3 linked regions of the Oryzias latipes genome follow. The protein of the gene in region 3 purifies or fractionates together with the protein of the main gene of each other region. This does not show direct contact. Links are inferred from orthologs where the notes say so. Each region holds a gene or a part of one and is shown on either strand. Other genes may lie near its edges. The genes, in order: nup214, ipo9 and ran.

What was found.
Region 1: the proteins of ran (region 3) and nup214 purify together in Homo sapiens (affinity purification with mass spectrometry; 3 studies listed by BioGRID and IntAct, counting the BioPlex papers as one, with this or other methods). This does not show direct contact. The link is inferred for Oryzias latipes from reciprocal best matches to the Homo sapiens genes RAN and NUP214.
Region 2: the proteins of ran (region 3) and ipo9 purify together in Homo sapiens (affinity purification with mass spectrometry; 3 studies listed by BioGRID and IntAct, with this or other methods). This does not show direct contact. The link is inferred for Oryzias latipes from reciprocal best matches to the Homo sapiens genes RAN and IPO9.

Annotation. Positions count from the first base shown.
Region 1 is NC_019870.2:10,676,262-10,680,799, forward strand, and holds the end of nup214 (nuclear pore complex protein Nup214), read right to left. Parts: intron 3,112-4,538; coding exon 2,966-3,111; intron 2,739-2,965; coding exon 2,705-2,738; intron 2,149-2,704; coding exon of another isoform or gene 2,115-2,148; exon of another isoform or gene 2,113-2,114; intron 758-2,112; coding exon 721-757; 3' UTR 292-720; downstream 1-291. UniProt on the Homo sapiens protein: Part of the nuclear pore complex. Has a critical role in nucleocytoplasmic transport.
Region 2 is NC_019863.2:11,417,746-11,422,283, reverse strand, and holds part of ipo9 (importin-9), read right to left. Parts: coding exon 4,470-4,538; intron 4,389-4,469; coding exon 4,290-4,388; intron 4,173-4,289; coding exon 4,066-4,172; intron 3,982-4,065; coding exon 3,842-3,981; intron 2,844-3,841; coding exon 2,681-2,843; intron 2,514-2,680; coding exon 2,287-2,513; intron 2,207-2,286; coding exon 2,058-2,206; intron 1,757-2,057; coding exon 1,628-1,756; intron 89-1,627; coding exon 1-88. UniProt on the Homo sapiens protein: Nuclear transport receptor that mediates nuclear import of proteins, such as histones, proteasome and actin. Serves as receptor for nuclear localization signals (NLS) in cargo substrates.
Region 3 is NC_019868.2:13,954,143-13,958,780, reverse strand, and holds the start of ran (GTP-binding nuclear protein Ran), read left to right. Parts: upstream 1-2,270; 5' UTR 2,271-2,361; exon of another isoform or gene 2,362-2,451; intron 2,452-2,618; exon of another isoform or gene 2,619-3,005; intron 3,006-3,202; 5' UTR 3,203-3,215; coding exon 3,216-3,260; intron 3,261-3,339; coding exon 3,340-3,424; intron 3,425-3,798; coding exon 3,799-3,924; intron 3,925-4,007; coding exon 4,008-4,195; intron 4,196-4,296; coding exon 4,297-4,467; intron 4,468-4,612; coding exon 4,613-4,638. UniProt on the Homo sapiens protein: GTPase involved in nucleocytoplasmic transport, participating both to the import and the export from the nucleus of proteins and RNAs. Switches between a cytoplasmic GDP- and a nuclear GTP-bound state by nucleotide exchange and GTP hydrolysis.

The sequences.
Region 1 (4,538 bases), on a different chromosome or scaffold from region 3:
TCATTTGTTTTTTTACTAAAGACGTTATGCAATTCCTATTAACATTCTTCTAGTGATTCCAACTAATTAATGATTAAAAAAAACAAACTATTTCTGTCATAACCAAGTAAAATTACTAGAGCAGTTAATATTTCAACGTTATTTTTTTATATCTTTTCATGTTAATTCTAGTTATTTTACCCTCAGATCAATCTTGGCTCGGTTTTAAATAACCAGACAAGTTTTTATTTTTAATATTATGTTTCAAATTTGTTTTTAAATTGTATGAAACTGAATACAAAAACACCAAAATGTTTGAAAATTACAATTTATTTCTGGATTTCAATGTAAAAAAAATACATCCAGGGGAAGCTTGCTGCCAAAATCTGTTAAAAGTCAAACTTTAACACATTCTTTACATTTTACAAAGAATGTGTGAAGTGTGTAAAGAAAACCACTCTGATGAAGCCGTTAAGACTTTAGCTGCTCAGTTTCCATCAGCCGATGCAATCAGTGAAAAAGTTTGAATCAAACTTTATAAGTCTTGGGGCGAAACAAACATTGCATGACAAAGCCTTGAATGGATGATATAAACTGAGCTTTCAGTTCCTCTGAATGTGACTTTTTCTGTTATTTTGAATCTTCAACCCATAATGCAACTGTCCAGCCTTTATCTTCAGTCACCGACATCTCGACTTAAGGGGAAGCTGTTAGTGAAGTTTGAGGAGATCCTGGAGGAACTCAGCTTCTCCAGCTGCCAAACGACGGAGCACCCGGTCTGGAAAAAGAAAGGAAAAAACAAAAAAAATGTTGAGAACGAGTAGGACTTGCTGCGGTATATTAAATTATATCTTTACTTGTTTACCATTTCTAAACCTGATTCTGAACATTTCTGCTATTAGGATCATTTTTTGGTCTAAAAATTCAGAATAATTCAGGTTATTCTGTAAAGACAGATGAGATTGCAGCATGGTCATGCTTACAGAGAACTAAAAGACATCTGCATTTCATTTTTGTCCCCCAGTTCATTCTCGCAGCTCCTTCTTTATATTTTAGTTCAGTCAAAACTAATCTCTGCTGCTGCTGTTCGATAATAAATGTGATAAGTGAAGCATTTGAAGAAGGTGTGATTAGTGCAGAATGTGTGTGTTTTTTTGTCAGGGGTGATGGGAGGGAACACAACAGAGAGGCTGAATGCCATCGTCTGACAGAAATTTACTTTGACTTTCTAATTGCCTTTATCAACAACAATGACTTGTGTCGTAGCTTCCACTCTGCCATATCCAATCGGTTTTCTGTTGATTTATTCTTACTATAGTTTGGCGTGCCAGATGAGCGCTGGCTCATGACATTTAGAGCCATTTCATACCATTTCATACTTTCCATGCAAGACAACAACAACAAAAAAAACTTTGTGCTCTCTGCTGCTGCACAACAAACAGAAATAGTCGTGTTTATCAAAATCTCAGTTTTCTTTTCTTTTTTAAAGACCCACTCCGATAAAAATTGTGTTTTGGGTGTTTTTATCATATTCTTGTGGCCTTTTTCTCACGGTGAAGGTCATATATCAAGAAAATAAAAACATACAATTGCATTTCTGAGTATTTGACTTTATTTAAATCGCTGTGGATCAGGAGCAGATGAAAAAATTCCGTTGTAGGTGTGACATAGAAGCTATAACAGGCGGGCTACAAGCTCCCAGCTCCGCTCCATTCTGATGCCTTTACTTGTAGGCGACTAGATCCATGTACGTCTTTGTTTTCCTCGCCTGATCTGGCATCTGGCTCAAAACTGTACTGCTGGATAACTCCAATATTGGATTTATGTTGCACTGGTAATGTTAGGTTGGGGGAGTGATGGGTTGTAACCGCTAGCTCTGTTATGGATGATGGGAAGGGGTGGCGGGGTTGCTCCACATCGATGGTCTCGACTGCAACTCAGAGACTAATGTCGAATAAACTCTTATCGCTCTGCAGAAAGTATGTCCTAGAAAACGCTGTTTTTGAATTTGTGGTTTAATAGCATAATCATAATTTAAAGAGATCAATAGATGATCAGAGTGGGACTTTAGAAATAGAACAAATAATCAGAGATGGCCAATACTCAATTATTGAATTCTTAAAACAGACTTACTTTTAGAGATTGTTAATCCAACTTTGTTGTAATGGTCTATGATGAGAATTATAACAACTTGTTAGTACTACACAAAGCATAATAGTTACTAAATATAAATTTGTAACATTTCTAATGTGCGAATGAAAATTTGTAACATTTCAAATTTTTTATATAAACACATTAATAGACGGCAGTTTTTGACATAGCAAAGAACAGCCGGTAATAATGATGAGCTGCACAAATGGTGATGGATTGTTAACAACACTTGAACGCTTCATCTGCACAGCCCCCTGCACAATTTAAAGTTCATTCTTCTAGAAGAAGGCCAGAGGGATGTGAACTGCAATGAGACACCACAGCGGATGAAGAGGAACGGAGGAAAGAAAAAAAGAACAAAAAGGAAGGAGAAGAGCAGATCTGAGAGATGAGGAGGGAAAAGATAAGATTAGAGAGCTAAGCTAATTACTTTAGGGGGAAAGATCTAACATTACTAAGCAGCCTGTAGGACAAGATCTTTTCAAATATGTTTCAACAAACTTATAGCAGACATTCAGTCATTTTTATGTCTGCTAATTAGTATAAAGTGAAAGAAATCAATAAACACACTCACGGATTTGGAGATCCAAATGCGTTTCCTGAAAATCCTGCAATACAAAAAAAAAATACAACTATTAAAATCATAGAAGGAAAAAATAAATCATCATGGACAACCTATTTCCCACTGATTTGCTTCAAAGAGTTCACAAAATCAATAACTGAAGGCTGCAGAGCTTTACTAAGCGAGCACACAACATCAAATTATCCCAGAAGTCCCTCCACACAACCCAAGTCGAGTGGAGCGGAGGAATGAATGCAAGTGTTGGAGTCGCACCTCCCGTCTGTGGCTGCTGGCCAAAGCCTGAGAAGCTGCTGGGCTGGCTTCCAAATCCAGGGCCCTGCTGGGCCAAGCTCCCGAATGACGGCGCAGTCTGAGTGGCGAGAGTCCCAAAGGAGGGGGCACTGGGGGGTGAGGAGAAACTGAAAACAGGAACAAATGTCAAATGGAAGGTTTGACTGGAAAATGGGTGATTATGGGACAATTTGAATGAACACATTCATAAACACAGAATAAAATGGTCCTTGATGGGTTTTGACCAATGCGAGCCAAGATAGACACTTTTCCCCCCTTTCTTTCTTTATCTGTATGTGGGATTGAGAAACAGGGATTTAAACAGGATTTAATCTCTTCTACAGGACTCGCTCCCTCCCCAAGAGAGAGAGAAAGAGAATAAGCAAAACACTGGGGGAGAACAGAGGGAGCTGGCCAGTTTAATCTGCAGCCAGAATGACCCCAGAGTGAGATTATCTGGGGGGAATAATCTACTCGCCCATAGAGATCCATAGTTTTAAGGCTTGTGGTCACGCTTACTGCAGCGAAAACACTTGCAAAGGCTGAAGAAAAAGGAAGATGAAACACAAACAAACAAGATAAACCTGAATGTATAGGGGAGTTTTGAGCTGTAAACTATATTTTCTAGGTAAATGTAATTCTTTTAAAATGTTCAAACATAACCTTACTGGGATTTTGTACCATTTTTTGGATATTCTACTTTTCTGTTACACTAATTTCAATAAAAAAAAGAGAGATTATATTTTTAACAGAACATGTAAACAAGTATACTACTCAATGCAAAATTCAGGGAGAAAAACTAAAACTGTGTGAGGTCAGAAAAAAGCACCAAATGAATCATAATCTCCTCATTTTGTGATTTAAATATAAAAGAAATACATGATAAAAAAATGTAAAATATTTTTTGGTTTTAAAGGGCTTAGGTCTATAAAAGGGTGTTTAAGTAAGAGAAAAAACACTCAAGGTGTAAGATAAAAAAAAAGCGACATCTTAAAGGACCACTTTGATGAAATGGTGTTTTCTTCTGATGATGGAGGACATGTATGAAGAAAATTAGGCCTAACATTGCATTTCTGAGTATTTCTTTTTTCAAATCGTTGCGAATCAGGAGCAGACATAAAAATGCAGTCTGAAAAAGAACTTATTGGTGACGTAGAAAATATGATGGTCTAACAGTCAACGAACAGTCCCGCCTACAACTCAGAGGCGAACTTTCACAAACTCCTGTCACTCTGCAGAAACTATGTCTTAGAAAACAACACAGCTTTCGGATGTTGCCTAAAATAGCATAGCTACAATTAAAAGGACCACTGGGAACGCTTTTACAAGAAATCCAGTTTATAAAGTAGACATCTTTGCTCTATTTGCGAAAACAAACATGTTTGGATTTCCATGTTGCTTCACACTGTGAGTCAAAACCTGCTGTTCCTCACTCTGCTGCATAAACAACCGAATGACACATAGTTCCAAACCAAAACATTGACTGTAGGTGCAGAACATAAATACTACTACACTAAGCCACACAACACCAAATGTATTCATGTTGTTACAAAAG
Region 2 (4,538 bases), on a different chromosome or scaffold from region 3:
AGAGGCCGCTGTTTCCCTGCTCGTCCCTCCACTGGGCTATCTGCTCCAGGCTAACAGACACGTACGCCCGCAGGCACTCTCCTCCATTCTGGAAGAAACAAAAGGCTCTAGTTCACATGATTTTCAATATCGATCCAAGAAAGTCTAGCATCAACCCTCAGTAGTCTCTGAGATTGCCGGTGAGTTTGCCGATCACATCACCGGTTTACAATGACGTAGGAATGACACCAACAACCCCCTTTAGTAAGGTTTTCATTTAAGATCTAACATGAAGGTTTGAAAAATGTTTTTAGCTTTAAAGATTTTGGTTTAAAAAAACAATTACGACACAATTGTAAATCGTCTTAGAATAAATCCTTGGAAAAATGTTATTGGAGCTTCTTTTTTTAAAAGACAGTCTTCACATAGTTTTGTCTTTGCTTGGTTTTTGGACTTTGAAATGTATTTTCTTTGACTCTACATGTTTGATCTTTATTATAAAACAGAAAAACAGTTTTATACCAATTTTGGGGATTTTTGCAGTTAAAAAAACATTCAGTTATCAGAATTGATGATTTTGTACAGTTTGAGGTTAATTGTGGAATAATTGTGTAAAATAATAAAAAAACATCAGTAAAAAAAAGAAGCTGGGTTTGGACAAAAACAACAGCATTCAAGTAATGCCATGAAAATGGTTTTAAGAGATAAATAAACAGATCAAATTGTAAAGTCGAAAAAAAAACATTTAAAAAGGCCCCAGACAACTTAGGGTTAACTGGTGTGCTGCATATGAATTAGCGGGTAGGTGTGGTTCAAATTGAAACTTGACATCTCTCATATTTGTGAATGTCACCATATTGTAACAAAACGAGGACAAACAAGCCTGACAGTTGTTAGATCCCACCCAGTAAGGCCACACTTCCTCTGAGAATTTGACGGAACCCTGTCAATCATCTCTGATTGTTCATTTCTTTGGATACAACTTCCAATCAAAAAGAAAAGAAAGTTTGTGTCATCAAAACAAACTGTTCTAAAATTCTATTTATCAAAAACATGCCTGTACAGTGAGGCTTATTTGGTAAACAGACTGAGCATCAGTTTATTTCAAATGGACAGCAATTTTAGCCATTTTCAAGGACATAGTTTCTGTAGAGCGGCAGGAGATCATCCGAAATTCACCTCGAAGTTGTGGACTGTTAGTGTAGAAGTAAGCCTCCACTAATTTCCCATTATCCCTTCCTTTTACAATCTCTCCCGCTAGTTTACGTTTTTCTCAACCCCAACCTAACATTACCGCTGTAACAAAATTGGTGCACAGTATTGGAGCTATCCAGCTGTACAGTTTAGATCAGATGTCAGCTCAGATGAGGAAAACAAAGACGGACATGGATCTATTTGTCTGCAAGTGAATGCATCAGAATGGAGCAGAGCAGAGAGCTTGCGGAGTGTAGTTTGTACCTAACAATTACAAACCTTTTCAAACTGCTTTTTTTTCTCTCTGCTCTTGATTCACAGCATTTTGAATCAAGAAAATTAACAGTTTTAATCCAAATTTGCTACATATAAATACATTTAAAGAGAGAGAAATGTAACGAGAACAAAAAAAAAAACAGGGTTTTCATTTCAGTGGGTCTAAAGTGTGTCTCACCTGCATTATTGTGTTGTCGTCTGTGCGTAAAGTGCACTGCGCTACCACAGGAAAGGCCTGACACACCAACATCTCAGACAGCGGCGGTTTTGTGTTTCGAACCACTGTAGTCAAAATATCTATGGAGGTCTGGAGAGAAGAGCACAGACAGAGACGAATGAGTTCTGAGTGATTTTATTTTGAAAATCAGACACCCCATGTAGATAAAAAAACAAGTGAATGGATTTATGGACAAGACCCTCTATGTGGCCCTTGAGGGCTCCCCTCCATTTAACAATGTTATTTGCTTAAAATGATGGAGAGATGGTTTGAAACTGTCTGTGGAACTAAAGATAATACTACATAACAGAAAGAAATGTTTCTTTCTCAGGATCTGACAAACAATGTGGATCAAGGGAAGGGTGTGTGACACTTGAAACTCATTTCTTACAGCGCACAGTCCAGTGGGGATCTTGTCAGGAGGAGCCTGCATGATGCTGACCAGGGTTGGTATGAGCCGCATCTGCATGGGGCCCTGGCAGCCTTCAATCTGCGCCAGCTCTTTAAAAATGTCCTGAGCTGAAGAAGCCACCACAGGGTCTGAGGAGGAGAGATAGAACACCATCAGAGAAAGCGCGGATCAAAAATGAGGCACTCAAATGTCGGAAAGGTAAACAAACCATTATTATATTTAAGGAAGATAGCAATGGTGAGGGGGCAAATCTTGTTCTCAGCACTGGTGGTGAAGGCTGGGTCCACAGTGCAGACGATGCACAGAGTCTCCATGACCAGTGTGAGCACCTCTGAGCTGAACTGGGCGGCCAGCTGGACCAGACCCTCCAGGATGCTGGGCAGGAAGGGCTGAAGTATGTGTGTGCTTTCTGAGAGCTTCAGCTGGTCACAGTATCTGAGGGGGGAACAGGTCATCTTAGCTATTGGAATGATCAAATCGAGACCATCCTTTCTACAATATAGCTCTTACTCTAAGGCTAAAATATCATTTCTAGTTTACTTGGGTGATACAGTCTAAAGAAGTAAAAATAATGCATTTAAAAAGCCCCATGAGCAGCCTACCCCCATATGGCGCGGACTGCGGAGATGCGGACGGATGGAGGCTGACTGTCGTGAAGGCCGCTGACAGTGGCCTGGAGGAACTGCTGGATGAGTTCAGGAGTCATGGCGGCTGTGAAGCGGCTGGCGGCCCACAGAGCTCGGCCGAGGAGGAATGGGGATGCAGCTGCAAACACGAAACGGAACAACATCTGTGTATTTTAACAAATTTCATGAATGAGCTCAGGCAAAAAAAAGTCAAACTTTTGGAAAAAAAAAATATGTTAAAAATTAACCTTAAAAACAACCACAATTTACGTTTAATATTTCAATCGTTGTTCAAACTTAACTGAGAAAAACAGCCCTTTTTACAGTTTTCTTCTCAATCTAAACCAAGGTGGGCCAACCCCGACCCGGGGGCCATATGCTGCCCTTAAATTATTTAATCTGGCCCGCCAAACTGGAATAAATTATATTGATAATCCTTAATAATATTTTATTTTCATTTTAGATGGTGCACTACAAATACACTGACCTTTTATCAGGTGCAGAAAATATTCTGGTGTTGGAAAATTGGTCCATGTGTTTTTAAGTCTGACAGTCATTTTCTCCATAATTCCAACAGCACACCAATGGAAAATTCCTTTAAATTTACTTTTTTTTTCTTCCAGAGGAACATCAACCGATCGGTGCAAATGGTACTAAAATAAGAACGATAGCCTCAGTTCTGAAATTAAAAACTCCAAAATGTTCTGTTTGAAAATATACTGATTATTTTTCAATCAAAATTAAAGCATGTTTTTGTCCAGATTATAGTTATTTCTTCCTTTTATGAGGTGGATTACAAAAACCCTCCACGCATCAGCTCCTGGGCCGACCTTTCGTTAAATAGTTGGCCACCAGTGATCTCACCTCTGCAAAGTGCAGCTCATTACTGCAGAGTACAGTATAGATGGCATTTGGGAACACAACCCAGATTTGCTCTTAAATAACTTTTCAACCTTTAGTTGTTTTCTAACCGTGGATGAGGCCTCCCACTGTTGTGGTGAAAATGACTTGTGAGATCATTGAAATCTGCTCATCTACTGCAAACCGCTAATGTAGCAGCCGTGGGTCACGATCTAAAAACGTCCCTGCAGGTTTGTGCAACAACATGCCAGAAAAATCCAGAGGACTCAAACTTACACGGCAAGTTCAGATCAGACAAGATGACACCAGCCAGAAATCCGTGCATGTCAAACTGGACGCGGCCGTTCTTTACATTCTCCGTTATGATGGTCTTGACAGAGCCCAGAGCCAACATACACGCTTCGTGAATCTTCCACCTAGTATTGTGACAAACATGCATATACGAGATATTTATCAAATTCTTCTTTGAGTCAAAACAGGAGGTCAGAGTCTGTCCTCACCAGTGCTCATTGCCAGTGTTTTTGGCCTGCTCCGCCTCCTGCAGGTGTCTGGTTGCAGCCGCGGCGAGTGCTGCTGCACTCTCATTCTGAAACTCTGCAGCCACAGTCTGCAGTTGAAATGGTTAGCATCATTACACAGAAAGACAGGAGTCTTTAGTTTTAACAAAACCAAATAGTTTTAACAAAACCAAAGTACTTTCTAATGTCCAAACCGAAGAACTCACCAGCAGCAGGTCCTGAGCGGAGATCCTGACAGAATAAGAAAGGCTGTCATCATCTTCATCTTCTACAAACTGCTGAGGATTTGCCGTCCACACTTTGATCTAAAGACAGAGCAAACCAGCAAAATGAAACATTCCAGGATGTTTGACAGATTCCTTAAGCCGGATCTAGATTTGACTCACCTGGTCTTCTGTGATCTGCATGTATAAGATGATGTAGTAGATGAGTTCGGGCAGCGCTTTCTTCACCGT
Region 3 (4,638 bases):
GACCGTGCTGCCACAACCCTGCTTTGGACTGAACTCTTTAGAGGTAACACTCCTTTTTGATTTTAGCAAAGATGGAGCGTTTTGTAAAAGCTAGACAATTCAGATTCCCAGTAAACATGTTTTACAAACTGGCATTATGCAAAACAAAACAAACCTATTCATACATTAACAGATGCACATACTGTTTGCACCTCAGCATACCTAATGCATTTTGGTTTTCTACTGATCTTAATTATTTCAACTTTAATGAGCAGAAAGTGTTTAAGAAAACTGAAGGATTGGGTTGATGTTATTGATAAGTCTCCCGTTTCCATTTCTCATACTGTAATTATTAGTACACAGTGTCTGGCTGATGTTCTGTTTGATTCCTTTGTCCACTTTTTCCTCACAGGTTTGGGGATGACTATGAGCTACCTGTTCCGGGAGCCTGCGACCATCAACTATCCATTCGAGAAGGGCCCTCTGTCGCCACGGTTCCGTGGCGAGCACGCCCTTCGCCGATATCCTAATGGAGAAGAGCGTTGCATTGCCTGTAAACTGTGTGAAGCCATCTGCCCTGCTCAGGTGAGCGCAAATTAACAGTGTTTTACATTTTTATTGTAAATAAAATGATGCACATGTCAACAAATGAGAAATAGACATATGGCAGACAGGAAGATAAATGACAAGAATAAAAGCATCGTCTTTCAAAATGCAAGGATGTAATAAGTAAAAATAAACCTAAAAAAAAAACTAAAAGGAACTGGTCTGCATTTATCGAATGCTTTTGAATTTGTGTTTTACTTGTATTTTAATTCAGTGTGATACATTCTGTCTTGTGTAGTTCTTCTATTCTATTCTGTCCTGTTCTATTCTATCCTATTCTATTCTATTGTTCAAATGAATGACATGCTACATAAGAAAAGCTTTTTTTTGGCAGGTTATACAAATAAATAGTGCAGGTAACTGTCTAATGAGCATTTGGAGCAAGCAACAGCGAAAGCTCTGGCCCCCCAGAGCTTACACTTTGACCTTGGTTCATCCCAGAGCAGCTGATCAGCTGATCTGACTGAAGTGGAAGTTAAGGAAAGGAAATAAAATATCTACAAATACTACAAAATTTACAGGCTGGTGGTGGAGAAATGCCAAAGTTGATGTTAAGTAATATTTTCAGGTCTTTCAATTTTGCTTATGACATACTATATTTTTCTGTAGCATTTTTTTTAACGTTTGACTAACACTCAGTATGCACACGACATGCTGGGCTCTTACAGCCCTTTATCCTTTGAAGTAAAGATTTCTTATACCAAGAACTGCTTGTCTGGTCTGATCTTTTGTTTCCTCATGTCTAAGGCCATTACTATTGAGGCTGAGACTCGAGCTGATGGCAGCAGGAGAACTACTCGCTATGACATTGACATGACAAAGTGAATCTACTGTGGTTTCTGCCAGGAAGCTTGTCCTGTTGATGCTTTTGTTGAGGTAGGAAAAAGTATTGTATTTTTTATCGCGATTTTCTTTTGTTTGGCGATCAGAGTGGTTTTTCACGTTTGAATGTCTGGTATTTCTTTTTACATTTGTCCTTTTCTCTTTAAATTTCTCTAAGGGTCCAAACTTTGAGTTTTCCACAGAAAGCCACGAGGAACTACTGTACAACAAAGAGAAGCTGCTCAACAATGGGGACCGATGGGAATCAGAGATAGCAGCCAACATACAAGCAGACTACTTGTACAGATAAACCTTTTGCATCTGCAGTCTTTACTAGGCTTTACTGCATTAAAAGCATTTACTTTACTATTATATGAGCCACAAAGCCTTTAGGTCTGCTGCTTTCCTGTCAGAATTTAAAATCGTAAAAACGCACAAATTATATTATATATTGTACAGATGAGTAGTGTTAAACTTATAAGTGTTAAATTTGCACATTTTTATACAAAATGAGGCTAATACAAAGTCTGGAAACACTTTGATCTGACTGTGTAGTTTGAAAAATGTGAAATACTCTTATTTAGGACTAGTTATGACACTAAAATAAAGCACATTGGAAAATGTTGTGCTCATTTGTTTGTTGCATTGCATCATTGTCTTAAAATAAAAATATAAGGACGCATTCATGAGAATATAAAGAACTAATAGCAGACTTTTATATATTTAATATTTATATATTATATTATTGCTATATTTATACATTACATTATATACATATATAAATATACTAAACTATATATTTTTTAAACTGTATTTAGAACCCAAACTCAAAAAGGTAATTCTTTTCAAACCGTTTAGTGAGTCACGTGACCAGGGCGGAAACTGACTCATAGTCCACGCTGAATCTCCCGCGAACGCGGCCATTTAGTCTTTCCTCTCGCTGCAGTTACACCGGTGAGTCTGTGATCACTTGCTGCCGCAGGCCATTCCATATTTTCAACTTTGTACCCGTTTAAAGGGTTTAATAGAGAAAAATACGTTGAGGTAGGATTAGGATTCACGCGTTTGTGTAGGCCATGTGATGTGTGTACTCAGAGAAACCAATCAAGCTATTCGTGTTTCTTTTTTGTATTTCTGTGTGCCAACTGCTAGCTAAGCTAAGCTAGCAGTTGGCCCCGTTGAAAAGAATACCCACGGTGCTAAGCTAACGCTCGCGTTTGCTAGCAGTTATTAAGGGGACTTCTGTGTGCTTTTTCATAATCGTCTGATTGTATCCTTATATTAGATTTTAAAAATACCGTAAATGACTTGCACGTGAAAAACGTGCTTAGGTCGGATTCGAACCGGTTTACAGAGGGGAACACGTTTGTGGCGTATCGAGACCAATTGTTCTAGCCGAACAAGAAAAAGTGCGCTCTCGCGTCATATGGCGCACTACGTTAGTGCTTGTTAGCATTCGAGCTAGTTGGTAACCATCGATTTTAACGTTGTGCCTTAGGGCAGGTTTGTTTTTATTTAATGATGCCGTATTCTTTTGACCCGTTTTCGTTAATTATGTTTTCGACTAAAAAGAGGAACGCATTGCTACACACTTGCTGGTGTGTATAGAACATGCTAGAAGTTATAGGCGGGTAACGGCCCGGTTCTTCTTAAACTTACAGACCGTAAATTCCACAAATAATTACGGTTGTAGCTCTTCGTTTAGTCATATTTAATTTCCTCTAATGTGACCAATGCTAACCCGAGCAGACCGCTAGCATGCTAACAAATTCATCCCGCCTTTCTTTTTACTTAGAAAAGTCGCAGCCATGGCTGATTCAATGGGGCAGTCTGTACCAGTTGCAGTTTTCAAGGTAAGTTATGTCATAGCAATTGATATGTTTATTTGTTGCCCAGTGTTCGTAAATGCTAAATGCAGTGTCTCCTCAACAGTTGGTGCTGGTTGGAGATGGAGGCACAGGAAAAACGACTTTTGTGAAGAGACACATTACAGGAGAGTTTGAGAAGAAGTATGTAGGTGAGTATATTCCACTGTAATTACAGATAAACAATATTTTCATCTTTTTAGATATTGCTGTACAAACCGAAACAGTTGGAAGTTCCCAATACTATTTTTGAGTTAGAATGTGCTGGAACATCATTCAAATCTTTGATTGTATATAATAGCCAATATTTTACTTGGGGTGTCGCGTTTAGTGACACGGAGGTTTAAAAATAGTCAAAAAGCTCAAAGTTTGCATTTGAAAGTATTAATGTAAATATTTTCTGTTTAGCAATATGTGGTATTGCAGATAAACCCATGAGCCACGCTTAAAAGCAATATGGTTTTGTCTTGATTTTAAAATATTTTGTGCTTTCGATGACACCTCTACGCGTCTTCTTCTATTACAGCTACTCTCGGAGTCGAAGTGCACCCACTGATGTTCCACACCAACAGAGGACCCATCAAGTACAATGTCTGGGACACAGCTGGTCAGGAGAAATTTGGGGGCCTGAGAGATGGCTACTATATTCAAGGTGCTCCTTTTATTTTCAGAGAGGTTGTCTTGTGCGTGTGACCTCTGAATATTAAAGTTGATACTTATCTGTCCCATCAACAGCTCAGTGTGCTATCATCATGTTTGATGTCACATCTCGGGTCACCTACAAAAACGTACCCAACTGGCACCGTGACTTGGTCCGTGTCTGTGAGAACATTCCCATTGTCCTTTGCGGCAACAAGGTAGACATCAAAGACAGAAAAGTCAAAGCCAAGAGCATCGTGTTTCACCGCAAGAAGAACTTGCAGGTAAAATTGCTTCTTTTCTTTTTTTTTTTAATTATTCAGTGTCTCTGTGTTGAATTTACACAAACTCATTTGTATTTGTCTTATTTAATTTCTTTTTCCAGTACTATGACATTTCTGCCAAGAGTAACTACAACTTTGAGAAGCCCTTCCTGTGGTTAGCAAGGAAGTTGATCGGTGATCCAAATCTGGAGTTTGTGGCAATGCCTGCCCTTGCTCCCCCAGAGGTCCTTATGGACCCCAACCTTGCCGCTAAATACGAGGAAGAACTTCAGGTGAGTAGTACACGGTTTTTCTTTCATATTGCACATTAATCATCATGTGCATTCATTAAAAAAACAATAAATGTCACAAAGGAACGATATACACGCTCTGCTTCTGTTTTCCTGTTGGGTGCTTAAACATTATTTTGTTTTCCAGGTTGCATCACAGACAGCACTCCCAGA